Linked DNA regions of Mus musculus. The protein of the gene in region 1 purifies or fractionates together with the protein of each later gene. This does not show direct contact. Links are inferred from orthologs where the notes say so. Each region holds a gene or a part of one and is shown in the gene's direction. Other genes may lie near its edges.

What was found.
Region 2: the proteins of Sart3 (region 1) and Prpf4 purify together in Homo sapiens (affinity purification with mass spectrometry; 5 studies listed by BioGRID and IntAct, counting the BioPlex papers as one, with this or other methods). This does not show direct contact. The link is inferred for Mus musculus from reciprocal best matches to the Homo sapiens genes SART3 and PRPF4.
Region 3: the proteins of Sart3 (region 1) and Lsm4 purify together in Homo sapiens (affinity purification with mass spectrometry; 4 studies listed by BioGRID and IntAct, counting the BioPlex papers as one, with this or other methods). This does not show direct contact. The link is inferred for Mus musculus from reciprocal best matches to the Homo sapiens genes SART3 and LSM4.
Region 4: the proteins of Sart3 (region 1) and Prpf31 purify together in Homo sapiens (affinity purification with mass spectrometry; 6 studies listed by BioGRID and IntAct, counting the BioPlex papers as one, with this or other methods). This does not show direct contact. The link is inferred for Mus musculus from reciprocal best matches to the Homo sapiens genes SART3 and PRPF31.
Region 5: the proteins of Sart3 (region 1) and Lsm2 purify together in Homo sapiens (affinity purification with mass spectrometry; 3 studies listed by BioGRID and IntAct, counting the BioPlex papers as one, with this or other methods). This does not show direct contact. The link is inferred for Mus musculus from reciprocal best matches to the Homo sapiens genes SART3 and LSM2.
Region 6: the proteins of Sart3 (region 1) and Ppih purify together in Homo sapiens (affinity purification with mass spectrometry; 3 studies listed by BioGRID and IntAct, with this or other methods). This does not show direct contact. The link is inferred for Mus musculus from reciprocal best matches to the Homo sapiens genes SART3 and PPIH.
Region 7: the proteins of Sart3 (region 1) and Lsm8 purify together in Homo sapiens (affinity purification with mass spectrometry; 4 studies listed by BioGRID and IntAct, counting the BioPlex papers as one, with this or other methods). This does not show direct contact. The link is inferred for Mus musculus from reciprocal best matches to the Homo sapiens genes SART3 and LSM8.

What each region holds. Positions count from the first base shown.
Region 1 is NC_000071.6:113,745,173-113,748,400, reverse strand, and holds part of Sart3 (squamous cell carcinoma antigen recognized by T-cells 3), read left to right. Parts: intron 1-401; coding exon 402-478; intron 479-1,608; coding exon 1,609-1,777; intron 1,778-2,369; coding exon 2,370-2,821; intron 2,822-3,201; coding exon 3,202-3,228. UniProt on the Homo sapiens protein: U6 snRNP-binding protein that functions as a recycling factor of the splicing machinery. Promotes the initial reassembly of U4 and U6 snRNPs following their ejection from the spliceosome during its maturation.
Region 2 is NC_000070.6:62,407,529-62,411,582, forward strand, and holds the start of Prpf4 (U4/U6 small nuclear ribonucleoprotein Prp4), read left to right. Parts: upstream 1-1,254; 5' UTR 1,255-1,346; coding exon 1,347-1,373; intron 1,374-2,046; coding exon 2,047-2,224; intron 2,225-4,054. UniProt on the Homo sapiens protein: Plays a role in pre-mRNA splicing as component of the U4/U6-U5 tri-snRNP complex that is involved in spliceosome assembly, and as component of the precatalytic spliceosome (spliceosome B complex).
Region 3 is NC_000074.6:70,671,763-70,676,030, forward strand, and holds the start of Lsm4 (U6 snRNA-associated Sm-like protein LSm4), read left to right. Parts: upstream 1-1,468; 5' UTR 1,469-1,692; coding exon 1,693-1,695; intron 1,696-4,268. UniProt on the Homo sapiens protein: Plays a role in pre-mRNA splicing as component of the U4/U6-U5 tri-snRNP complex that is involved in spliceosome assembly, and as component of the precatalytic spliceosome (spliceosome B complex).
Region 4 is NC_000073.6:3,636,485-3,639,984, forward strand, and holds part of Prpf31 (U4/U6 small nuclear ribonucleoprotein Prp31), read left to right. Parts: exon of another isoform or gene 1-177; coding exon 178-267; exon of another isoform or gene 268-2,146; coding exon 2,147-2,274; exon of another isoform or gene 2,275-2,373; coding exon 2,374-2,446; exon of another isoform or gene 2,447-3,091; coding exon 3,092-3,220; exon of another isoform or gene 3,221-3,304; coding exon 3,305-3,403; exon of another isoform or gene 3,404-3,451; intron 3,452-3,500. UniProt on the Homo sapiens protein: Involved in pre-mRNA splicing as component of the spliceosome. Required for the assembly of the U4/U5/U6 tri-snRNP complex, one of the building blocks of the spliceosome.
Region 5 is NC_000083.6:34,980,456-34,984,653, forward strand, and holds the start of Lsm2 (U6 snRNA-associated Sm-like protein LSm2), read left to right. Parts: upstream 1-1,398; 5' UTR 1,399-1,627; coding exon 1,628-1,630; intron 1,631-1,674; exon of another isoform or gene 1,675-1,801; coding exon of another isoform or gene 1,802-1,912; intron 1,913-2,164; coding exon 2,165-2,232; intron 2,233-4,198. UniProt on the Homo sapiens protein: Plays a role in pre-mRNA splicing as component of the U4/U6-U5 tri-snRNP complex that is involved in spliceosome assembly, and as component of the precatalytic spliceosome (spliceosome B complex).
Region 6 is NC_000070.6:119,317,724-119,321,988, reverse strand, and holds the start of Ppih (peptidyl-prolyl cis-trans isomerase H), read left to right. Parts: upstream 1-1,465; 5' UTR 1,466-1,514; coding exon 1,515-1,580; intron 1,581-1,755; coding exon 1,756-1,820; intron 1,821-2,135; coding exon 2,136-2,159; intron 2,160-2,424; coding exon 2,425-2,469; intron 2,470-3,402; coding exon 3,403-3,445; intron 3,446-4,265. UniProt on the Homo sapiens protein: PPIase that catalyzes the cis-trans isomerization of proline imidic peptide bonds in oligopeptides and may therefore assist protein folding. Participates in pre-mRNA splicing.
Region 7 is NC_000072.6:18,851,635-18,854,552, forward strand, and holds the end of Lsm8 (LSM8 homolog, U6 small nuclear RNA associated), read left to right. Parts: intron 1-1; coding exon 2-129; intron 130-1,966; coding exon 1,967-2,057; 3' UTR 2,058-2,418; downstream 2,419-2,918. UniProt on the Homo sapiens protein: Plays a role in pre-mRNA splicing as component of the U4/U6-U5 tri-snRNP complex that is involved in spliceosome assembly, and as component of the precatalytic spliceosome (spliceosome B complex).

The sequences.
Region 1 (3,228 bases):
TTGGGAGACAGCATGGGCTTCTCTCTCCTGGGACCTGTCTGGATTAGGGTGAGGCTGAGACCTGTAGATCAGACAGAGAACAGAGTCCCAGCACACTTGAGTAGCTCCCCTGGCTCTCGGGTTCACGTGCTCTTTGCATTGGCATGTTTTTATAGTCTTTACCATCAAGAGCCTATAAAGTCAGAGTTTTGTTTTTAAATCTGTCTTTGGAAGGAGAAGGACACATATCAGGAACCCAGAAGGATGTTTGAATTGCAGACTTGGAAGATGGCGTGCATTGTCTTAAAGCAAGAGCCACTGCAGTTGTTGTGAAGGGAGCTCTGTGCTCTGGAGCAGTGGGTCAGGGAACACTGCTGCAGCCTAGGAGTGGGTGTGTCAGAGCTCTGCTTTTCTCTCTCCAGGGACCTTAGAAGATTGGGATCTAGCCATTCAGAAAACGGAGACGCGCTTGGCTCGTGTGAATGAGCAGAGAATGAAGGTGACACTGATGCTTCCCCAGGGTTGGGAACTGCACTGCTGTGCCCCTTGGTCTGCTTTGAGTCTTTTGTCTGCGTGGATGTCTGCACCATGTGTGGGCAATGCCCACAGTGACCAGAAGAGGGCATCAGATCCTGGGATAGTTGTGAGCTGCCATATGGGTGCTGGGAATTGAACTTGGGTCCTCTGAAGCTGGTGCTGGTAACCACTGAGCATCCCCCCAGCCCCTTCCTAAGATGCTAGTTAAAAAGCATGTTGGTCAGTAGTTAAACTTACCCCTTGCCATTTGTAGCTTCACTTAAGCTTTGGACTCCCTAGAAATTGAGCATACTAGATCACACAGAAGCCTCAGAGGGCTCACAGAGCCTCTCTCCTGGAAGCTGTTGACAATTGACAGTTCCTGGGAGGGGCCTTCAGCCTCCGTCCAGGGTGTAGCCTAGGGTAGGCTGCCCTTCCCACTGGGTGGATGCTGGATACACTCATGGTGCCAGTAGGACTCTGTGGGAAGAAAGATAGACAGACAGACAGACAAGAGTCAGTGCAGTTGAGGGAGATGTGGGGCTGTCATCCAAGGGGACTGGAGGGGAGACTGGGGAATTTGATCAAGAGTTAAGTTTGTAAAGGAGCCATGATAGGTCCTGAGTGGTTCGTGAACATCTCTTGCTTGCTTACACTAGTCAGCTGGCCGGGGTCTTCTGATTAACTGAGGTGGGAAGACCCACCCTAAATGTGCTTGGCACTGTTTCTCAGCTAGGGTCTGAAATGAAATAAAAAGAATGGGCAGAGCACAGCCCGCAGACATTCCTTCCTTCTCTTGTCAGTGGATGGCACTAGCTTTTTCAGGGTTGCGTCCTCAGCCCCTCTATAGACTTGTAAATGACTGCAGTGTGAGCTCAGGCTAGCCCATTCTCCCTGGGGCTTTTGTCAGCATTGTGTCACAGCAGCAGACCCCTGCTTTGGGACTGCCTGCCTCTCTTTCCTGGTGTGTAGTATTGCAGCGTGTATTGAGAGGAATATGAATTGAGTCTCCTCCTTGCTGTGTATTGTATGAGGGTTCCCACCCTATCTTACAAGCAAGCCAGCCAGCAGGACACAGCCTCCAGAACGAACGCCCTGTCCTCTCATTCCTAGGCCGCAGAGAAGGAAGCAGCTCTTGTGCAGCAGGAAGAAGAAAAGGCCGAGCAGCGGAAGAAGGTGCGGGCGGAGAAGAAAGCCCTGAAAAAGAAGAAGAAAACGCGAGGTGCCGACAAGCGCAGGGAGGACGAGGACGAGGAGAACGAGTGGGGCGAAGAGGAGGAAGGTACCGTTGCACTCGGGTGGGGTGCAGGCACAACCCATACATAGAGCCTCTTAACTCTGCGAGAGTGGCTGTGTTTCTCAGTGGGCATACTTGCACTGCCCTGGCTCAGTCAGGTTTCATAGCACTGACATCGGCTGCCATTTCTCTCAGTAGTGACTCTGCTAAAGACCCACTTGAAAATGAATGTTCTGTTTCCGAGCCCTGTGTAGCTTCTCCCTGAGGCAGTGGTGGAGGCCATCCAAGCCCAGCCCATGTCCTCTGGCAGGATGCAGGAGAAGTGCATGTATGGAGCAGTCACCTGCGGGCTTCAGAACCGCTCCCAGCTCCGTTCTTCAGGGCTGACTTGGGGATGGGGGCGGGGGAGGGGCTCTGCATTCTGCTGCCGGGTGTGGGAACCTGACTGTGCAGGGATGACCGACAGTGGATGTTTATGTTCTTGGTTTCATTGACGCAGCACCTTTGCTGGAGTGTAAAGTGAGCCCCACTGAATTGAGCGTGGAGACGGTGCAGTTTGTATGAGGTGGGGCAGGCCCGATGCTGAAGGAGTGCAGACCTGGCTAACTGCCTCTGCTTGTCTTTTGAATGCCTGCAGAGCAGCCTTCCAAACGCAGAAGGACGGAGAACAGTCTGGCCTCTGGAGAGGCTTCGGCTATGAAGGAAGAAACAGAGCTCTCCGGGAAATGCTTAACGATAGATGTTGGTCCTCCTTCCAAGCAGAAAGAGAAGGCAGCCTCCCTTAAGCGGGACATGCCCAAGGTGGCTCACGACAGCAGTAAGGACAGTGTCACCGTGTTTGTCAGCAACCTGCCCTACAGCATAGAAGAGCCCGAGGTGAAGCTCAGGCCGCTCTTTGAGGTCTGTGGGGAGGTGGTCCAGATCAGGCCAATTTTCAGCAACCGCGGGGACTTCCGGGGCTACTGCTATGTGGAGTTTGGAGAGGAGAAGTCAGCCCAGCAGGCCCTGGAGCTGGACAGGAAGATTGTGGAGGGCAGGCCGATGTTTGTGTCCCCCTGTGTGGATAAGAGCAAAAACCCTGATTTTAAGGTATGCTTTTTGAAGAAGGGGGTCTTCAGGGTGGGCTGCCCGATAGGCAGTGCTCAGCGCTGGAGCCCATGAGGGCTGACAGCGGCAAACCTTGCGAGGCGCTCAGGCTGCCTCGTGGCTTGGTCGCTCTGAGCCGCTGCCTCTTGGTTGGTGGTGGCCACAGTAGCATTTGGGAGGATGGCTGCTTTCCTTGGGGTGCTTAAGAGGGTGGCAAGAGTGGCCCTCACCTGTGTTCAGTGGATGGCCGTTTACAGAGGTGGGATGCCCAGGCGATTTTGTCACGTGAGTCTCTGAGACCAGAATGGCTCAGCTGTGCCTGCGCAGGACACGCACATGCTGGGGCGTGTCTGCCTGAACCACGGGCTGTGCTGTGTTTGCAGGTGTTCAGATACAGTACCACCCTGGAG
Region 2 (4,054 bases), on another chromosome or scaffold:
CAGAACGAAACAAAACACTACAATGTATAGGAAACATTTACACTTCTCTCAGGAGGCTTAGCACAGCAAGGGGTGATCTAATCAAAACACTGGCCCGTGACATTTCAAAACTGCTTTATTCTATCAGATACTACTTTCTACCAGATCCTTACGTAGAGAAATGGAAGTCAGCTCCAAGGGGGAAAGGAAGAAACACTTAGAAAAACAACAACAACAACAATAATTCCCTACTTGCGAGGGAACTTTCTGAAAGCCTCACCACTAGAGAGCAATAATGAGTACGAGTTAAAAGCGCGGCTCGGCGGCTCGCGACCTGCCACGTTACTAATTCTACTACTACGGCTCCAGAACGACCTTTTCTCACCAGAATGTTTTTTGGTTTTTTTCGGGCTTGTACTCTTGTCCGTGACTGAGATGACTAAAACAGAATAAGCTCGTTGCGCGTAACTCGGCATTAGTAAGTCCTCGAAAAGGAAGTGCTCTTCTAATTGGAGTTGTTCGGGGCAGGGCCTTGAGTGTGGAAGTGAGTCTGTTCAGCTCGGCAAACGCGCATATTTTTGTAACCCCCACAACTTTCATGTAAGGATTTTTTTTTTAAAAAAAACCTTATCTCTGATGGCCTAACATTCATTGGAGCTACTACTGCTGATATGCTCTTTATCTGGAGCCTTCATGGACCCTTTATTTCAAAGAACACAGACAAAGAATAGGCTGTAGACAAGTAAACCCACAACAAACTAGGCCGCAGCTCCTCCACCACATCTCTATTTTAGCCTTAGAAGGTCTTAGAGTTTAATATCTTCTTGAAGCCCAAACTGATTACGTAGCCACCGAGTTACGAGGGGCCCCCGAAGGACTTCCGTCGTGGACAACAGTCCTCTTTCCCAGCTCCAAGGCTGCAGAAGTCTAGGGAGAGATTTCCATGGCAACACAGGCCTCAGCTTCGAAATGGCGGAAGGCCTCCCGAAGGATAACAGAGACCCTCGTTTTGTTCCAGATTATGGTTGCGATCCGCAAACCTACCTCTTTTCAGGCCTCTGCAGTTCCCCAGAACCTCAACTCCCACCATGACTCCATTGCTGCGCAGCCCAAACTACACCTCCCAGGCTGCTCTGCGCCTCTCTTCCCATGCTCCTCTTCTCCCGCGAGGTTGTGTAGCTCTGTAAGGCCACGCCCCTCGACTCCAGCCGACCTTTGGCAACTACCATTCCCAAGATACTTCGCACGTAGTACGTTTCTGATACGTTTCCGGCCAGTGACGCACTTCCACTTTGCTAGGCGCGCGGTTCCCGGTCTGAAAAGTAGAACGCGGATTTGGCTAGGGCCTCGCGTCTCCGCCGCCCGGCATGGCCTCCTCACGAGCCTCCTCCACGGTACGGAGCTCTGGATCTAAGCTCAGGCCTGCCCTAGAGAGGCCGGGGGTTCCCGTGGGAAAGGGCCGTTACCTTACGGGTCTGGGCCGAGGAGGAGGAAAGCTGAGGGACCCTAGTGTGGACCTTAGTAGCCTTTTCCTGATGTCTTCGTGTGCTGCAGCTCTCTTTGCACTGCTCTTACTTAAGTCCTGAGCAGAGACCACTCTTTCTGGCTGCTCCAAAACACGGTGCTTTGGAATCGGGTTGTGTCCTGACTTAAGCTGTCCGACTCGTACTTACTATGATGAGGCTTCCCAACTTGTAATCGGCTCTGAAAGTATTTGAAATGTGTATTCCAGTCACATCGTGACTTGGTGCACCTAGAGCCACCCTGATTGTTTAGGTTGTTTTTAGTGTCTGCCCAGCAGTGAGAAGTTATTTTCGTAAAACCGGAGATTGCTTTTCCAGTCGATTAAAGTAACGGGCCCCAAAACAACCAAGACACTTCAGGCAGAAATTGATTGGTCGTATTTGTGTGCCAAACTTAACAAGAGCCTTAACTCGCACAAAGTCAGTTTCGACTTTCTCCTCTAGTTTTGAGAGGAAAGAAGATGAAAGTGCAGCGTTAGCTTCATTCTTTTGGGAAGCATGGTTTGCTGGAACTAAACCTTAGTCCGGGTCTTTGATTTAACAGACAACCAAAACCAAAGCGCCTGACGATTTAGTTGCTCCCGTTGTGAAGAAACCACACATCTACTATGGAAGCTTGGAAGAGAAAGAGCGGGAACGCCTGGCCAAAGGAGAGTCTGGGATTTTGGGAAAAGAAGGACTCAAAGCCGGCATTGAAGCAGGAAATATTAATATAACATCCGGTAAGATGCAAATTGCAGGTCATTACCCCCACACACACACCCTTTTTTAAACAGTGCTGGGAATCCAACCCGGGTTTTTTTTTTTTTTTTTTTGCATGCTAGGCAACTGTTCTGCCACTGAGCCATACATTTCCATCTCCCCCCACCCCCCACAGTCTCTTACCTTTGACCTCAAACTCCTCCTGCCTCCTTCCTGGTCGCCACCATGTACTTTTGATGATTCAATATTCTGATGAACACCTTCCCAAACCACATAGTATTAGGTTTATAGGCCAAAACCTTCTATTGGTCTGGGGAGCTAGTTCAGGTGCCAAAAGCTTTTCTCTGTGACCATTAGGACCTGAGACTGAGCCCCAGAACCCATGTTTTTTTACTGGCTTGTTTTTCCTTTTTCTAAAAAAAAAAAAAAAAAAAGTCAATGTGGTGGTACCTACTTAGAATGAAATGTTGGGAAGACATACTTGCAAACGCGTGCAACCTTACCCTTCTGTTTTCACCTTTGAGCCTGTGACTTTACCTGCTTGACATCATCCAGTGAGTGGATTTCTTGTATTCTCTACAGTTCCTTGCAGGAATGACTCGTGGTCTCTGTAGACTTCTTGAGTGGATTTGTCTTTGGGAGATGTAACCTAGTTCTGGCATTGGTTTATAACTGTTTATAGAATTCTTTCCTTTACTTTTCTAGGGTTTTTCTTTGTGTTTTCCTTTTTGTTTCTGTTTTTCAAGACAGGGTTTCTCAGTGTAGCCATGGGCCAAGCTGGCTGGCCTCCAACTCAGAGGTTCTCCTGCCCCTGTCTCCAGAGTGCTGAGAATAAAAGCATAAAAAAGAATAAAAACCACTACCTGCCTAGTTTAACTTAGTTATTATAAGTATTTAAATGTGCACACTTTTTCCCTGTACACATATACTATTCTTAAATGTCTTCAAGCCTGTCTCACTGGGGGTTAGGAGGGGCGAGGGGTTGTGGGTTTTAAAACTAATCGCCATAGTATCCAAAAAGACTTACCTTGTTGTCAGAGGAATCCTGTTTTTCCTGGTCATTATTTCCTCTCACTGTGTGTGAATGCTCTCCTGGGGGTACTGTTTTAGCAGGTAGGAGTTGGGCTTTCCAAATAAGAAATGTTCTAAGCTATAGAAAGAGATAGTGAAATAAATGGAAGAGGTGGCCTGGCCCTCCTGCCCTCAGTTTAAAGCATCACTTGGGTTTATGTGTTTGCTATCATTTAATAAGCTGAGAATTGAAAATGGTAAGCTATAAAAAGTAAGATAGATTAGATACAGTTCTTGCATATGCTTACAACTTTTCAGCTCTTAAAGACCAAAACAAATTTCAGTATTAATAAGATGGACATACTTGTTTATTGATAGAGAATTAAATGTTAACTGAAATTTTAATATTGTAAGTCAGGGCATTTTGAATATTTTTCATAATACTTTGATTCTTTCTTTCTTTCTTTTTTTTTTTTTTAGTTAGCAACTCAGATATTGTGCTGAACTTAACAGGCATACACTGAGCTTCTCCCCATCGTCCAAACAGCAATTCTAAATAAACAAATATTTTAACACGGTATAGTCCAAAGATAAAACTATTTGATATTTGATGCTGAGGAAATTAAATGTTTTCCTTATAACTTTGTACAGTGAAGACATTGCAATTCATCAGATGTAATGGCCTCTGAGCCACTTTGCGTGTGGTGTTCCTTAGTGTCATATGGCATGGCAGACAATAAGTACATTACAGAATTGCACATGCTCAGCACCAAGGCTGCAGCAAAGATACATGGTGCAGCCCAGCAGGGACCCTTCGATATTGCTGAAGTCTCTGTGAG
Region 3 (4,268 bases), on another chromosome or scaffold:
TGAGCTGCAGTCTTAGTGCGGGAGTCTCACTCCATCACTTAGAAGAGCCCTGGGGAGTGTGCCAAGGGAGTCTCCCGGGTCAGAGGATCCCAACAAGTGAACTCATCGCTAACATTCTGTACCAGGGCCTTTCAGCAGCTTGGTCAAACAGCTGTCCTGCTTGGGACAGCTCAGGGTGGAGCTCTGATTCCATAACCAGTAGCCAAAGAAAATAAAAATAAATAGAAGGGCTAGGAGATGGCTCCATGGGTAAAAATGCTTCCTGATGAGAAGGCTAGGCTGACTTCATGACAAGCTTCAAACTGGCAGTTAAGGAGAGGTGGCCTAAATCTGTTTCCAAGAACTGGCCAATTCCAGACAAGTCCAGGCCTCAGAAGCTGCCCCACCACCTGGCCTGAGGCAAGGACAATGGGTAAGCAACAGTTTCCAGACCTCCCCAGTAAGTTTCCAGCCCCCGCAGCCCTGCCATGGAACGTCCATAGAGATGGACCTCACAGATTAACATAGAGGTCACCTGCCCCGGAATTTCCTAATGTGCTTTAAATCAAACCTCCAAGTTAACATGGGTGTCTATTTTGGTAATTCGAGACTCCAGCATGCTCAACTTCTGCATAATAAGACACTCTTTGAGTTTTCATACTATTTGAGTCCGGAATATCATTCTTTGGCACCCCTACTGGGCAAGCATGAGAACCTGAATTTGTAGCTCAAGAAGACACATTAAACCATGGTGGTGCACACCTGCAATCCCAGCACTCACTAGGATCTCTGGAAGGTCGATACCAGCCTGGTCTACATTGTGTGTTCAAGGCCAGCTAGGGATGTACAGAGAAACACTATGTTCCTCCCAAAATGATAATGATTTTTTTTAAAGCAAGGATTAAAGCTTGATGGCCCACAGTGGCCATCCAGCAGTGGAGAAGCCGAGTCGGGGTCTAATGCAAGTTCATGATCGGCTAGCTTCAGCTGCCACAGAAGCCCATCTCAAAACAGGAAAATCCCAGAGATTTGTTTTCACTTCCTGTCGCCAGGGAACGCCAGACCTGCCGTTCGTGTTCAAAGATTCTATTTGAGTTGGTAAAGACAAAGAGATCCATAAGGGCAAGAATGGAAGGCTAGAGCTGGGCAGTGGTGGCGCACGCCTTTAATCCCAGCACTTGGTGGGCAGAGGCAGGCGGATTTCTGAGTTCGAGGCCAGCCTGGTCTAGAGTGAGTTCCAGGAACAGCCAGAGCTACACAGAGAAGCAATGTCTCGAAAACAAAACAAAACAAAACAAAGAATGAAAGGCTAGGAGCGCAAAATAGGCACCGCGCGACTCGCATGCATTAGCCAGCTTCGCCCACAGTGTGGCGCCGAATTAGGCGCCGAACCAGATCCAGGAGAGCACCTCTGCGCAGGCGCCCTTTCCCAACATACACCCCGTAGTGGGCGTAACTTGTGCTGCGGCCTTTTGCGTCGTTCTAGTGTCGCACTTTACGGCTACCTCTCAATCCCACCGTAGAAATACGGTGAGGCCGTCCGTCTTGTTCCGTAGGTACCGCCCTAGCCCGTCCCGATTGGATAGATGTCCGTTGAGCTGCTCGCTGATTGGTCATAGTTTCTGCCAGTCTTTTTCAGTCTGGGGCGCGCGGTGGGCCGCCGGTGGGAGCGCGTGTGTCTGTGCCGCGGCGGAAGTTATCGCTGCAGGGAAGATGGTGAGGGCCGCGAGGCGGAGGGGCGCGCGCAGGGTCTTCGGGCTGCTGAGAGATGGGGGAAACTGAGGCCGGAGTGACCGGTGTCCCTCCAGGGCCCCAGACGGTCACCGTTGGGGATTTATCTCTTGATGGACACGGTTTTTGCGACCGGAAGAGGGACTATGATCGTTTCCGGGGCTTGTCACCGTCATTGATAGGAAAGCTGCGTTTCCGGGAAATGGGCGGGCTTAATGGCTCACGTGGGCTTCGTTGCCCTCTTGATGCTTATCTGGTGTCTGACCTCAGCTGCCCACGCCTTTGGCTGGAAATCCAGCTCAGAGAGCGGGTTGATTCTCTCCCTGGGACACACAGCATGTCTTGCTCAGGAAGAAAGGATTTTTTTTTTCTCCTAGTTTAGGCTCAGGCCTCCTCAGTTTGGGGACTCTTAGACCTGGCATAAACAAGTAAAGGAGGCCAGGTTTCCCCCTGCTCTGTCGAGGGGCGCGTTGGCCTAAGTGAGGAGAGCCACATATTCCCATCTCCCCAGTTCTTGATGGTAGGATATTTGGTTTGTTTTTTGGTTAGGCTTTCTGATCTGAACTGACATAATCCAGGCTAACCTCAAACTCCTGATCCTCTTGCTTCAGTCACTGGAGTATGGAAAGGACACGTGTATACTCCACATTTGAGTCAGGATGTGAGGCAGGGTCTCATATAGCCCAGGCTGCCTTTGAACTCCATTTGTATACATGCATCACTGTGAACTCCTGACCCTGCCTTTACTCCAGAATGACCCTGGGTTTTGTGGTGCAGGAACTCTAGGCCTAACACATGCTAGGTAAGCACTCCCCACTGGGTGTACCCTGAGCCTTCCTGAAGGGATGGCCAGGTGCGTCCAGGACTGGACACCCACCTCATGCAGGTGCGCACAGACACTCCCATATCTCTGCGGTCAGGCTGGTACAGGAGTGTCCCAGCTGAACATTCCTGAACTCAGAGCCCTAGACTTGGTTCTTTAGCTATCTCATCTACACACTGGATCCCAGAGAGTCTGGATGATGGCTGAGAAGGAATTTCCCTTCCTGGAACTGGCTCCTCTAATGGGAGGTGCTGGGACTGGATTCCAGAACGGGTGGCTATAACACCTGCAGCTGCTCTGTGTAAAGCTATGTCTCCTCCACTCAAAAGCCTGTGACTATCCCAGCTCCAGCCTCCCTGTCTGCCCTGGCCCATTTCACTCTGAGCTTTTTCTTCCTTCATTTTGGGGAGACATTCCTAATTACTTCTTTCATTCCTCTCTCCCACTGCACACACAGTAGGGGAGTGGGGGGTTGTGGTGGCCTGTCCCTACACCACACTTTTCTTACCTGTGGCACTGGACAGGATGCACCTGTGCTGGGTGTCCCCACCCCTGCGTGTTCAGCAAGTGTTTACTGCTCCTCCCTGCTGCAGCAGAGCCCACGCCCACACTGACCTTGTGTCTAGCCAGGGAGACTGATGCTAATCACCCATAATTAGAGAGCGGCTTCAGCTGCTGAGCTGGAAACAGGCTGGCAGCCTAGGGTGGCCATTAGGGTCCTGACCACAGGAGGGGACATGCTCAGCAGGATTGGGCAGAGAGTCTAGGGAAGGGCACCCTGGGTGGTGGCTGGGGCCCTGGCAGGAGGAACGAAAGTTGAGCAGTAAGGCTGGACCTTGCCATCGCTGCCTCCAGGCTGTGCTGGGCCATAGCAGTTCCGGAAGAGCTTTGTGTGCCTCTATTCTTGTTTAGCAATGTTTGCCCTTGAGCCCTTGCTGTGCCTTGTATTTGGGAGTTTGACTATTCTATTCCTTTATTGAAACAGGATCTCATGTAGCCCAGGTTAGCCTCACACTGTAGCCAAGGATAACCATGGCTCCAACTACCTGGAGCTTAGCCATAGGATGCTATACTGTGGCTCTTTTCTGCTGTTTATTTGAGGATCAGGGTGGACACCATTGTCACTGATCACCAAGGCCACCCACCCACCCACCAGCCATTTTCACAAAAGTCATCCTCTGCCTCCTACCCTTCCAGGAAGCCTCTGCAGGAAGTGGGCTAGAGCTTCACTTCCCTGCCACTAACTCCTCCCCGCCCCTCAGCTCTTCTTGGGAAGGGCCTTGTACTGTAGGCTCCCCCAGTCCTCTCATGACCCAAAGTCCCCATGCTGGGCATGATGGCCCTGAGGATCTGGGGCTCTTGTTGTTTGTTTCTTCTGTTTTTAAAATGATTTATTTTTATTTCATGTGTTTTGCCTGCATGCATGTGTCTGTGAGTGTGTTGGATCCCCCTGGAACAGGAGTTATAGATGTGTGAGCTACCATGTGGGTGCTGGGAATTGAACCCAGGTCATCCAGAAGAGCAGCCTGTGCTCTCACCTGCTGAGCCATGTCTCCAGCCCCTCGTGTAGTTGTTTGTTTGTTTCACTGTGTAACCCAGTTGGCCTGGAACTTATAGATAATTCACCTGCCTCTGCCTCTCAGTGCAGGGATTGAATGTGTGCACTGCATGCTTGGCTGTAATTTGATTTTTGTGTATTTTGAAGACAGGTCTAATGTAGTCCAGGCTGATCTCA
Region 4 (3,500 bases), on another chromosome or scaffold:
GGAAACTGGGGGGCAGCCAGAGTGTACCCCTCAAGAGGCTGTTATTAGAAGAGCCCACGGGTATGAGGCTTACCTCCCAGAGTCTGGGGTATGGCTGCCCTAGATGAGGAGTGACTATTGTAGTGGCTGTTACCTTCTCTAGAGGTTCAGTTTCCTTTCTCCTTGCCATTGCTCCAGGATCTCCGGCGGAAGGCGGCCCGCCTAGTGGCTGCCAAGTGTACACTGGCAGCTCGTGTGGACAGCTTCCATGAGAGCACAGAAGGGAAGGTGAGGAGAGGACAGGCATCTGTCCCTGGTGCTTGGGGTCTTTTCATGGGAAGATGCTACTTCAGAGACCTCTTCTGACTAGCAGACAGATGTGTCTGTCTGCAACCCCTACTGAGGCCATCACATTCTCAGCTCTGTATCAGTTATGACAACTCACTATAGATGGAGTAGCTTCATATAAAAGTTGGCTAGGCCTCTTTAACATCAATACTTGAGAGACAGAGGTGGGAAGATCATTAGTTTGAGGCAGTCTGGGTTATATAAGTTTCAGGCCAGACTGGGCTGCATAGTGAAATCCTGTGTTTGAAAAGAAAAAAAGCCCAGGGCTGGAGATGCGGCTCCATCACTTCAGTTCCTGCATGCAAGCATGAGAACTTGAGTTCAATTCCTAACTCAGGTTAAGGGAAAAAAGAAAGCAGGCAGAGTACTTCACATCAGTAACTAACCCCAGCTCTGGGAAGGTGAAGGCAGGAGGGCATTTGGAGCTTGTGGGCCTGGCAACCAAATCAGTAAGTTCCAGTGAGAGACCCTGTCTCAGGAGATAGGTGAGGTGTTGGTGTAGAAGCCATGATACCAGATCTTTGGCTTTTTGTGCAAAGATCCTCTGCCATGTAAAATGTAGTCACAGATCCTAGAGACCAGGACACCTGACACCAAGGTGTAGCCCTGTGTTGGAAGGGACAGTATTTTGCCTACCATAGTAGGACCTGTCCTGTACTAGCAGGGACATGATTCCAGTGATACCATCTATTTTTCTGTGTGGGCTTAAGAAACAATACTGTGTGCATTTCCCTGCTAGAAATTACATCATAGCCCAGGTCAGAGGTTCAGTCTTTGGTTTTGCCTTTTGCCACTTTCTAAACAAGGCAGTACAGCAGGGGGTTATATAGATGTCAAAGGTCTGCCTCAGTGGCTTTTGTGTGTGTGTGGTGGGTATACTGGGATTGAACCTAGGACTCTACGTGTTCTAGACAACTGATCTGTACCACTGAACATACATCTATAAGATCTATACATCCTCAGCTCACCCTCACCCTTTTGTGAGACATGTCTTATCTCTAGTCCAGGAAAGCCTTGAACGAGTTTTGATCCTCCTGCTCCAGCTGCTAGCTAGGATTGGAGGTTGCTGTGTCACACAGCATTTATGTTCTAGCTGGGACCAAAACAACTAGGCAGTAGTTCTGAAAAGTCTGTAGTGGGTTCAGTGGTGCTTTGTGAATGCCAGGGGCAATCAGGGGGGCTGTGGGGTTAGGAAGCTTAGACTCTGATGACAGAGAATGTGAAGAAAAACTTCTGAGGACGTTTTAATTTGGGCTTGAGTGAAGTTATAGTCAGTCGTGTGGCTACTTGTGCTATCCACTTGGAAGAGTGCTCCAGACAGAGTGAATAGTGAGTACAAAGATCTTGAGGCCAGAGTTGAGTGAACCCCAGCAGGGAGAGGAGCCTTCTGCTTCCAGGAGCAGATAATGTGTACAACCTTTGAGGGCCTCTGGCTGCTGTAGAGGCACTGAGAAGCAGGCTAGCTGGGGTCTGTTCTAAGAGGCCAGGGGGATCTGTGGTGTGGAAGTAAGGCAGTGGAGATGACACGCTGTCTGTTGACTAGAGAATACAGGGATTCTGCCTGGCCCAGGACTCAGACAGAGACAATTATCCAGAGGGTGCAGAGCTTAGATATGAGGACTGAACCTGAGCTACAAGTTCAAGGAGCACTAGGCACTGGAACCCACAGAGCACCATTCCTGGACAAACGTGAAGAACATGTCTTGGGGAGGGCACACTGTCAGGTGGTCAGATACACAATAGATGGGTTGATGATATATAGATGTTGGCTGAGGGGACAGTTTACATGGCTGGCCACCGCTTCTCAACTCCCCCCTAGGTGGGCTACGAACTAAAGGATGAGATTGAGCGCAAATTTGATAAGTGGCAGGAGCCACCACCCGTGAAGCAGGTGAAGCCCCTGCCTGCACCCCTTGATGGGCAGCGGAAGAAGCGAGGGGGCCGAAGGTAAGGAGTTCTGATGGGGCTAGACGTTTGGAAGTGGGGAAGGGAAACAACTTCTTCCCAGCCAGCTCCCTATATCCTGTTAACACCCACTTGCCCTAGGTACCGCAAGATGAAGGAACGGCTAGGACTGACGGAGATCCGGAAGCAGGCCAACCGCATGAGCTTTGGAGAGGTCAGGCTTGATCCACAGTACCAGTGGGACCATATTAGGGTCTTCTCTCTGCACATCCTGCTGCCATCCCTCCTCCCCACCCTGTAATCTGAGAGCAGATCTGGGGCTACCCAACCCTCCTCCCTCTTGTCTAGCCTCTCCTCTTAAACCACCTTCTCCATGGTGATCTTTGCAGCTCTCAGCTGGCTGGCTTCCCACGCAGCTCTCCAGGCTGCTTCTATATCTGACTGTCATCTAGGTGGTCCTGAAAGAATCCGCTTAGGTGCCACCTCAGTAGCGCGGCTCATCCCAATTCTTGGCAACTTAATGTGGATGTAGAGAAAAAATGGCTACTCTACTCAGGTCAGGAACCAGTTCTTCCCAGGGTTCCTAGCTATACCCAAACAGAGGTAGGATAGGCTCTTGTTTTTGTTTTTGTTTTTTCTTTTCTGAGACAAATGTGAAGCGAGCTTTAATTACATACTGCTAAGGATGATGGACTCTGGCCAATAGGGTAGGCTCTTATTAGGTCACTTAATGCTGCCAGTCCCCTGGCTGATGAGGTGGTGTCCATGAGACTGGCTGATTGGGTTCTCAGGTGACTGCCTCAGGGGACTGGCTGGATGTACCCAGCTTCTTAACCGCAGGTTGCTCTCGTCTCACCAGATTGAGGAGGATGCCTATCAGGAAGACCTGGGCTTTAGCCTGGGCCACTTGGGCAAGTCAGGCAGTGGGCGTGTGCGGCAGACCCAGGTGAATGAGGCCACCAAGGCCAGGATCTCCAAGACACTGCAGGTATGGATTGGGCCCATGAGAATGGGAGGCAGGTGGGATATGGAGGTCAGTGAGCCTGGATCCCAGCCTCCCCTTTCCCTACAGCGGACCTTACAGAAACAGAGCGTGGTGTATGGTGGGAAGTCAACAATTCGTGACCGCTCCTCAGGGACTGCCTCCAGTGTGGCCTTCACTCCACTCCAGGTACCATACCCTTTTCTACCAGGCATATGATAAGGCTGCTGTGGAGATCTGTTGAGATATAGCACATGAGCTTAGGCATCCACAACCACACAGTAAG
Region 5 (4,198 bases), on another chromosome or scaffold:
AATCTATTTAGATTATTACACTAGAGAATTCCACCCTGCAATCAGCAGGTTTAGACTCTCAGAATTTTCACCTGTGTCCCGTGACTGCCTTGCACCTACAGCCAGCCTCAAGAAGAGAAGACAGAATAGAAAGTGTTTCCCTATTTATCCAGACATGATATCCACAGAAGATACAACCTAGCAACTTCCCACTTAATGTAATTATTTAAAAAAAAAAAAACAATAGGGCTGGAGAGATGGCTCAGCAGTTAAGAGCACTGACTGCTCTTCCAGAGGTCCTAAGTTCAATTTCCAGCAAGCACAGAGTGGCTCACAATCATCTGTAGTGGGATCTGATGCCCTCTTCTGGATGTCTGAAGAAAGCCACAGCATACTTACATAAAACAAGTCAATCGAAATAACAACAAAGCCCTTTCATCTCAGACCATCTCTTTCTTCTCTGGAACTTGCCTACTGAGGCTTTTCTAGTTTTTTGTTTTTTTTTTAAATCAGTCAGCTCTTGTGAACTCCTTCACAACCAGCATGTTACAAGCCTGGTAATGCTGTTCCCAGAACATCCAAAGTAGTATCTGTCGGTGATCTAGTTGAAAATATTTCAGTAATGCAGGGATGGATCAGCAGTTACAAGCATCTGTTGCTCTTCCAGAACACCCAGATTTGATTGCCAGCACCCACAAGGAGGCTCACCATTGTAACTCCAGGCCCAGGGCATTTGAAGCCCTCTCTTCTACCAGGAACTCATGTAGTACAGACATAACATACAGGCAAAAACTGTCAAACACACACAAAAAAAGCTAAGATAAAGTAAAATATTTCTGTCACTGAGTTCCAGTCAGTTTAGTCCTTTACAGACGAGTCCTATGCCAAATTATATATATATATATAACATTAGAGCTGGGATGTTGTTCATTTGCTTTGCTTAGAATGTGTCCGCTCTGGGTCAACTTTGCACCCCAAAAGACTGAAATTGAGAGAAACTTACTTACTGGGAACCTTTGATAAGAATCAGGATTTGTGTTCCGGTTTCTCTCTCACACTCACACACACCATAACCAGTGTGTATTGGTGTATATTTTATTCTCTGACACAGGGTCTTGCTATAATAGCTTTAGTTGACCTCTAAACCAGAATCCTCCCGTCTCAACTCCAGGATTCCAGTTGGGCACGAACGCTGTCCAGCTCTTAGCAACATTTTAAATTTTACTAAAGAATACGCAAGTCATAATTTTCTCAATCTTCCCAATAATTCCCCATAGAAAACGTAGACTACGAGCTAATCACGCGGCAGAGAGAAAAGTCTCAACAACCATCAGAAAAAGAGACGAACTACGTCCAACGCGCAGCTGCCACGGCCCACGCATGCGCTTGTGAGAAAGCGGCTGCTCGGGAGGAAGTGGGGGGGACAGGAAGTTCCGCCCCTCTACCGGTTTGGCGGTCCTCTCGGCTCTGCCCTACCCCGCTCCCTTTGAGCCTGAATTCAGCCGAGGTTTTCGCGGCTCCCCGTGCGCCTGCGTGATCCAGTCTTGCTTCACGCGCGGGCTCGCGCTCCGGCTCCCGCCCTGCCTCCGGCTCGCAGTCCCCGGCGCCTTCCTTCGCGGTCCAGGCCGCCCCGCGTGGCGCCAGCACCATGGTGGGTACCGTGACGTCAAAAGGGAGCGCCGCCGCTCGCGGCGGGCGGTTCGAACCGTGCGGGCGTGGGTGCGGGCACTCGTGTCGGTCGCTTGGGGCGGCAGCCAGGCCCCAGGGTTTTCCGTACAGCCTTACTGCCCACACCCCAGTGTGAGGAGGCTGCTCGGAGCCGATGGTGTTTTGGGGGAAACCTTTAGCAAGTCCAAGAGAAAGCCCACGGGCGCCGGGGGAGAACGGGAAGCGAGCCTTGCACTTCTGTGCTGTTGACGAGGACTTTGTGAGGGTGCGGTTGGGAAGCGGTCTCAGCTGGGAGGTGGTCGACTCAGAGAGTGGGTTCTAGCGTCGAGGGGTGCAACGCAGGTCCTGTCACTCCGTGGCTCCGTGAACTGCAGAGTCCCGTTTAACGGATTGTTGTTGGTTATGAAGTTTTGAGAACTACTAGGAGGGGCTACAAAGACTAGTATTTCAAAATACTGTCACGGGCTCCTCCTCCCCGTCCCTTTTCATGTGATAGTTCCTCCCTCTTTTCCAATAGCTCTTCTACTCCTTTTTCAAGTCTCTTGTGGGCAAGGATGTAGTCGTGGAACTCAAGAATGACCTGAGGTAGGTCCTTATTTTAGCGAGTTGGTGGAAGGTGGGGGTGCCGGGTGTCCTGATCCTTTTTGTCGTTGTTGTTGACAAAGTTACTTCAGAGTAGGTAGGCAAAACACAGAAGAAATACCTTTCGTCTTAAGTGTAAAAGATTAGTTTAAGAGTGAGCCTGGTATTGTGACACATGCTTGTAATCCCAACACTGAACGCAGAGGTGTGAGTTCAAGGACAGCTTGGTCTACATATGTCCAGGGCCATCCGGAGTTACACAGTGAGATACAGTTAAGTAACATGTATGTGTAGTCCTGGCTGTCCTGGAACACACAGATCCACATGCCTCTGTCTCCTGAGTGCTAGGATTTGCCTGGCTGTATCATTTGCTCTTAACGATTCAGGAGTTGGGGTAAATGCTTAAATGCTGTACCACTGGAAATATGTTTATGGGTTCTTGTCACATCCGTTAAGGTCTACTTGGTTCCTAATAGTGCTTCGAAAATTATAGTTTCATTGAAGCCGGGTTTTGTTTGCTTTTGTTTTCTTTCATGTACTGGGCATGCTCAACAAGTGAACTTCATATGCAGCCCTCATGTTTCTCTTTAAAATAACTTTTTTTTTTTTTTCCAGACAGGGTTTTTCTGTATAGCCCTGGCTGTCTTGGAACTCACTCTGTAGACCAGGCTGGCCTCGAACTCAGAAATCCGCCTGCCTCTGTCTCCCGAGTGCTGGGATTAAAGGCGTGTGCCACCACCGCCCAGCAAAATAACTTTATTTGTAGACTCTTGAAACCTTTGAACACACATCAGTGGTTGACCAGCAGGATGGTTCTGACCAGTGTGGCCAAGTTAGAAGCTGGCCCAGACTGAGGTGCAGACTAAGACCTTTCATAGTCTAAAAGTCAAATCACACGAATGGTCTACAGAGCTGTGGGGATTCATAGGATGTAGAGAGTGAGGAAGTAAAACTCAGGATCTGAGGTGGTTAAAGTTGGTTACACAGAGGGTAAATATAATATAAGGTGGGGCATGTAAGGTGGTATGGGAGCACTGGCCTTGATAACCTTGCTTAGGGGCTAGAGGGCTGGAGAACTGAGAAGACTTGACTTGTATCTTCATTATTAAAGATAAGTTGGGGGGGATAACATTTGAAATGTAAATAAAGAAAATATCCAATTTTTTAAAAAAGAAGAAGAAGCCGGGTGTGGTGGCGCAGGCCATTAATCCCAGCACTCGGGCTACACAGAGAAACCCTGTCTCGAAAAAAAACAAAAACAAAAAAAAACCAAACAAACAAACAAAAAACTCATACGAGAAAAAAAAGAGTGTAGCAAAAATAATAAAGAGTAATTCCAGCTACCAGTATGTGTACATAGGTCTGTGACTCCAAAGCAGTAAATGTTTACAAATAACAGTTAGGGAAGCTGCAGAGATTGCTCAGTGCTTTAAAAAGAGCTTGCTGGGGGCTGGAGAAATGGCTCAGAGATTTTAAGAGCACTGACTGCTCTTCCGAAGGTCCTGAGTTCAAATCCCAGCAACCACATGGTAGCTCACAACCATCTGTAAAGAGAGCGGACATCAGACGCCCTCTTCTGTAGTGTCTGAAGACAGCTACAGTGTACTTAGATATAATAATAAATAAATCTTTAAAACAAAACAAAACTTGTTGCTCTCCCTGAAAAATAAGAGTTCAGTTTCCAGCAACTACATTAGGTGATTCACACCTACCTAGAACTCTGGCTGCAAGTGATCTGATGCCCTCTTCTGGTCTCTGTGGGTAACTACATGCACATACACACAAATAATAAAAATCAATATTTTAAAAATAATAGTTGATGCTTCTGGGAGTCATGCAGATCTGGGCTGACCTTCAGTTTATTGGTTGTAAGTTTTGTTACCTTCCATGACCTCTCTCATATCCTGGAGGATGATAATACTTTGAAAGATGATTAGCTAAGTGGTGTTGATAGCAGTGCATCCCTTAA
Region 6 (4,265 bases), on another chromosome or scaffold:
TAAAAAAAAAAGTGAAAAAATGTTTCAAAAAAGACCTTAAGCTGGGCAGTGGTGGTGCATGCCTTTAATCCCAGCACTTGGGAGGCAGAGGTAGGCAGATTTCTGAGTTCGAGGACAGCCTGGTCTACAGAGTGAGTTCCAGGACAGCCAGGGCAATACAGAGAAACCCTGTCTCAAAAAACCAAAAGCAAAAACAAAACAAAACAAAAACCAAAAAACCTTAAAGGGTGTAACAACCAGGGCTGGAGAGATGGCTCAGTGGGTAAGAGCACTGACTGCTCTTCCGAAGGTCCTGAGATCAAATCCCAGCAACCACGCCCTCTTCTGGGGTGTCTGAAGACAAGTATAGTGTACTTACATATAAGTATCTTTGGGCCGGAGCAAGCATGAGAGAAGGAAAAGAGGGGGGGGGGGTAGCAACTGAATGCCCTCCAAAACAGAGGCAGAAGGGTACTTGGTAAAAGTGGTATAAGAGAAGCCAGCCTTTACTTCCTGGTCTTTGCTACCAGCAGTGGCAAACAGCATTTTAAATAGGCAAAGCCCCATACGATTTACTAGCCTAGAGACCCATCCCATGGGCAAACAACAATCCCTGAGACTGTTGTGCTTGCAGACAGGAACCTCGCATGGCTGTCCTGAGAGACTCCACCCAGGAGCTGACTCAGGGATGCAGAGACCACAGCCAAACATCCGATGGAGCTTGAGGACTCCTGAGGGCCTCCGAGGGGATTGGAACTCCACAGGAAAACCAAGAGTCAACTATGACCCTTGGGGCTCTCAGAGACTGAACCACCAACCAAAGAGCATAGACAGGCGGGACCTAGCCCCCTCCCACACACACACGGTCTTTCATGTGGGTCCCGAACAACTGGAGTAGGGGCTATCCCAAAAGCTGTTGCCCTGCTGTGGAATTCGTTTCTTCTGCTTGTCTGGACTCAGTGGGAGAGGATGAGGCCAGCCCTGCAGAGACTTGATGTGCTAAGGTGGAGGGAAAACCAGAGGGGGTCTCTACCCTCTCAGAGGAGAAGAGAAGGAGGGGGTGGGGAAACCGGGAGAGGCGGCAGCACTGGGGATGTAAATGTGAATTAAAAAATAAAAAATTTTACAATCATAAGAAAATAAATAAAATTACATTTCCAGCACCCGACTGAGCCAGGCTACAGTAACAAACCATTTTAAAATATGGAAGGTGACTCAGGGATCCTCGGCTCATGAGCTGTGACAGGGGACACCAAGTGTGACTGCTCAGGACATGCTGTCTGCAGAAGATTCATTTCTATTGCACTAATACAGTCATGCAAGTGGGGAGCCCACAGACTTTGACAAAGATGCCTGCGTTTCCTCCCCTCAGCTCCGACCAGCTCAGCCAAACAGTACCATTCCCAACAACCTCAGCGCGCGCCACACTTCCGGGGCGGGGCGCAATCGCGGTCCGTTTCCACTGCGTCTGCGCTCCGGATGAAGTTCGCGGGACCTGCCACCGGAAGCCGGGTTTCTACTTCCGGGTCAAAGCCATGGCGGTGGCAAATTCAAGTCCAGTCAATCCAGTGGTCTTCTTCGATGTCAGCATTGGCGGCCAGGTGAGGTGCGGGCGACCTAGCGGCCCGTGCGGGCTGGTTGGCCTCGGGTAAGGGAGGCAGCCCCTTATAGCCCTCCCGAGACCGGCTGGGCCAGGCGGCGGAGGGAGGTGGGAGCTTTCGAGCTTCGTGGACAGCGGTCGTGAGCTGAGTGTTGCGTCTCCCGTTTCTTCTGCAGGAAGTTGGTCGCATGAAAATCGAGCTCTTTGCAGACGTGGTGCCTAAGACGGCAGAGAACTTTAGGTAAGGATATGCTCCAAGTGAACCAGAGCTGAGCCCGAAGCCGGCCTCCAGTCGGTCTTTGCCATGTCTGCCTCTGTCCATCTATTCATTGCCTTGCAGCTCTGTGGTCTGGGTATTTCACTGGCCAAACAGCTACCGGCTGTGACTGATCCCATATCAACTTCTATCACTAGTCTACCTGCCCTGACATCCGCCCGATCAGTTAGTTGGCGGACATACTGGCCCCAGTGTTTGAACTCTCCTCTCCAGAGATTAGAGGTGCTTCAAGCAGTGATCGTACGAAGGCTAAATCGTTTGCTCTCTCTTTCCCTTTAGGCAATTCTGCACCGGAGAGTTCAGGTCAGTCTCAGATGTGTTTGATTTCTCTGCCTACTCCTGAAGGGGTGCCCTGGATGTTTGGTGAGGGTATTGGAGAACCATGAACAGGTCTTAAGTAATGGAAGATGATATGCAGAGAGAGGGTGACACCTTGAATGGGTTCTTTCTCTCTCTTTTTCCCCCTCCAGATCTTAGTGAGAGCCCTTTTAGCCTCTGGTGTAGCCTAAATGGGAAAGGCCCACCATTGTGTTTCCCCATTCCAAGTCTCTTCCTTCTTTGTTTACAGAAAAGATGGCGTTCCGATAGGATACAAAGGAAGCACCTTCCACAGGTAAGGGAGGTTTTTGGAAAACTGGAAATGCAGTCATTGCTTGGTATCTGTACAGGCAGTCCTGCACACCTGAGTTCAAACTCTGTGAGGCTTACGGCTGTTGTTTTAAATGGCATGTTCGCGGCTGAGGCTGTAGCTCGGTGGTAGAGAATTGGCCCAGCATTCATAAGGCCCTGGATTTGGTACTGAACACCATGAAGCCTATGCACAGCGCCTTAAGTCATCCCTGACTTGGTGGAATGCTGTATTGCAGAAACGATGCCAAGGAAAGCATGCTGTACCCTTTCAGTACCTGTTCAGTACAGGTGCGTGGCCACGTGCTCCCAGAGGTCTAAGCTCAGATCCTTAGGCTGCCACAGCAAGCACTTCACCCACTGACCCATCTCCCTGGCGCCAGTCAGGACTTCAGCAGAGGCTTTGCTAGTTACCGTTGCTAGGCAGTCATCTGTAGGAGCCTGGCTTTCATGATATATTTACTTATTTTTTGTTAGAGTTTGACAGAAGTTGCTCTATTCTAATCCTGAAAATGTCCATGTCTCCCACATAAGGGCTTTAAAGCTACAGTCTGTAACCCTCCCTAGCATTCTTGTGAAGTAGTATGTGTTTTCCGAGTTCTTCAAGGAAGGCTAAGCAAAGCGAAGGGCCATAGCTGGTGTACTAGCTAACACCATCAAGTCTCTGTGTGTGCAGTAGTCCATTCACCTAGATTTGCTGTTGTTCTTTTCCCCCAAATTGCAATAAGCCCTGGACATGATTTTTTCCTTTGGTGACTGTTGGTGATTCTAGCCTGGTTTCAGCCCCTTCCTGATGTTCAGGTGCGAACTCACGCATCTAAGATCAACTGAGTTAAGACTGTACTTGCTCGCCCTTTTCTAAGCTTCAGTGATTAATCCACTGAATCTTTTCTCAGGATTTTTTTTTTAACTGTTTCAGGGTCATAAAGGATTTCATGATTCAGGGTGGAGATTTTGTTAATGTAAGTACTGCTTCTTTTCTTTGTTATTTTTTTCTGGCAGGGCCCTAGTCTTGAGACTTAAGAGCAATAGCTAAGTTAAGTGGAGAGGGCATGGGATGTACTGTAGAGTTGCTGGCTACCACTGACTGTGTCCTTAGAACACATAACAATACTCTACTGAACCATAAACTTCCACTTTCCAAACCCTAGCTGTTTGTAACTAGAAACTGGGCTTTGCTGGCATACCTATAGGTGATCTGAGACGGTCCACATTCATTGTTCACAGAAAACTTTGAAATTGACTGCAATTTTTCCCTCAAAAGGAAGGGAGCTGACTGCTTTTGTCTCCCATTTTTCCTTCCACATCTGCACATCTTCTGTCACTGTCTAAAAACTCTAGTTTTTTGTTGGATTGCTCTGGGGGGGGTTAGGGGCCGGTCTTTCTTTCTCTTTTCCTTTTGAAAGCTAAGGTATTAATCACAAGCTGGTTAGCAAGCAAGGGATCAGATCAGGAGAGACAGGAAGTTTAAAGGGTGTTCGCTTGCTTGCTGAGGTAGCCCAGCAGATCCATTCTTCACAAAAAGACCATGACTGTTGGTGTCTCCATCCTTCCTTGGAGTGTGTCCAATAAGCTAGAATATCTCTTTCTTAAACCAGCTCTTTCCTTACCCATCCACCTCTGTGCATGCTGTCTCCTTGCTGTTAGCATTGTTTATGTGGGTGTGTTACTAAGTCCTTTTGTCTGAGAGATGGTCTTACTCCATCAGTTGTAAATTTAGTTAGATTTTTGTGAGTCTTTAGAGGTCTTCCTCCTACACAGGGTTGCAATGGCAGGCTTTAG
Region 7 (2,918 bases), on another chromosome or scaffold:
GGGAACACTAAAAGGTTTTGACCAGACCATTAACTTGATTTTGGATGAAAGCCATGAGCGGGTGTTCAGCTCTTCACAGGGAGTAGAACAAGTGGTGTTGGGGTTATACATTGTGAGGGGCGACAATGTGTAAGTACATAAGTCATTTTGAGTACATTTGTGCTACTGGTATGTTTGCTTTATGGAAGAGAGAGTTTCTCCAACATACATGATGCCATATGTATCATAGAATTGTGCACTTAACTTGTTTTGTAGGTAGAGCTTATCTTATATATAATTCTAAATGCTGTATGTTTAGATGCCTCAGGGGTCAACTAAAGTGATCTCACAAACAGTTGCCTACTGAGATTTCCTGTGTCTTTACTTATTTGAGAATCGGGGTTTGAACCTAGAATCTTGTACATGGGAACAGGCAGTCTACTACTGAGCTGCGGTCTCTCTTTTTACATCTTGAGACCAGACCTTCCTAAGTTGCTCAGACTGACTTTCAACTTTAGGTTCCCCTACAACCGCAGCCTCCTAGTAGCCTAAACCATCATTGTGTGTGCCCAGATATGTCCACAAAGGGCCCTGCTTTTTCATCACATTTCTTAAAGAGGCTTCTTAACGATTTGGAAAATATCTTTTAAAAAATCTCCCATTTGAATTATTTTAAATGGTCCACGCTCATTTAACTGTTACTATTTTTAGTGTAGTGGATGTACTTAATGTGTGCCACGATGCACCTATTGTTTTGTTGAATTAGGACCCTGACAGTGTAGTTTGAGAAAGGCTGTAACCATTTCGAGCAGTGCTCTTCACAGTCACTTTTTCTAATGATGGGAAGCCTCACGCCTCAGCATTTTCCACTGTTACAGCTACTTGCTTTGTATAGCTGTGGTGTGTTTGAAAAGCGGCTGGTGACCAAAGAACTAATTTAAAAATTGATTTTGGGGTTATGTAGTTTGTTTGTTTGGTTTTGGTTTCTGAGGATAACCAGGCTGACCTGGAACTTGTTACCAACCCAGATTTACTTCATTTTCCTTTAGCTTCCCAGGTGTTAGCATTATACATGTAATCTACCTCCTGTGGCTAACATTTAAGTTTAAATACTATGAATAGTCAAAATATGACTAGAGGACAGCAAAAGACGTTAGTAACTAGGTGGTTTGAAGGGCTCCGTAAGATGTAGGGAAGAGACACTGAACTTACTTTGTGGATATGCTTAAGATTAATTTATTAATACTGTACACTTATTTTAAAATGAACACATGCTCTAGGCACTTAACTTTATCTGAAAACTGTATTTTGGTAAATATGATCAACTGATCCTTAATTAAAATTGTGTTTACAATCTATAAAATAGTCTCTGGAGATGACTTTTGGCTTAGATTATAACGTGAGTTATAAAGAGTGATCCAGAGCAGAGGGCCAGGTCCTCTGACCACAGCAGTACTGATGAAACACTGGGGGTGTGTGGACTGATGATTACGGTGCCTCCTGGGTCTATGTACAAAAAATAATTCAGAATTAAACATTTACCCTAAACCTGCTGGGACTAGAGCCTGCTTTCAGGAACCCATGAAAACAGTTTTAAGAATTTTTGCTAATAAATGGATTAGGGTCTTGTTAGTAGCTTGCAATTAGCCCCACTACCCCATGGAGACTTTTGTTTGCCTCATATAAATGCTGCAGATCAGATGTCAGTTTTCCAAAGAGCTGATGTTCAGACTCTTCACAGTATCTCTTTACATATGTTCCTGTCCTACCTTCACATTACTTCTTGAGTCCCATGACATGGGTAATTCAGTTCACTTAGTGATGAGATGAAATGGCTTTTGTTTCCTACCTTGTATTTTTGCTGCACCTTCTCAGTTCCACATGTTTAAGAAGCATGAAACAAGATGCTGTAGTTAATGAGACTTTAGAAATGTATGTCAATTTATTTTAGAAATGTTTTGACTCTTTTTTCTCATATTAATAACAGAGCAGTCATTGGGGAAATAGATGAAGAGACGGATTCTGCACTCGACTTGGGGAACATCCGAGCAGAGCCTCTGAACTCCGTAGCACACTGAGACCTCAGTGTGTAGTGAGATGTGTGTAAATCCTGTACAGAAGCGTCTGTCCTGAGAGTGATGTTTAGGGTTTTTATGAGTGTGTAATTGTGCAGTTTGACTTCATGTTGGTACACTGTAATATGTAATTTAAATATTTCTACATTTTTTATTGGGAAACATTGCCTAAATTAATAAATGTGGTTGGCTGGTTTATTTTTCTACCAAATGATACAAAAATCTAAGGATCATTTGAAAACTTAGAAAATACCATTACTTTTGGTAATTTAATATTTATGGGAAATTGGCTGTAAAGAGAACTTAGACTATTATTGTAACTTATACTAATGCAAATAATAGTAATAAAAGACACATTTCTTTTTGTGGTTTTCTTTTCTTTCCTTTTTTTTTTTTTAGAAATACCAGATAGTAAATGGCCGTCTACAGGTAACTGTCATAGAGTTTATCCCAATGTGGTACAGTTCTCCAGTAGTTGGAAAAATTGTGTCTAAATTTTTAGATGCCTGTTAAGGTCACAAGATTTGGTTTCTGAAAGAAGATTTTGTGAATGTTAAATGCCATTGTACTACTGAATTTTTTTAAACTAGAGTGAGGAATATCTCTATTCAAAGAGCTTTTGTTTAATGTGGGAAATTAGTTAAATCAAGAGCAGTGCTCTCTGCTGTCTCTCATTACTTAGTCCATGAGGCAACTTTTGTTGTTTTGTTTTTTGTTTTTTTGTTTTGTTTGTTTTCTCAAGACAGGGTTTTTCTGTGTAGCCCTAGCTGTCCTGGAACTCACTTTGTACACCAGGCTGGCCTTGAACTCAGAAATCCGCCTGCCTCTGCCTCCCAAGTGCTAGGATTAAAGGCATGCACCATC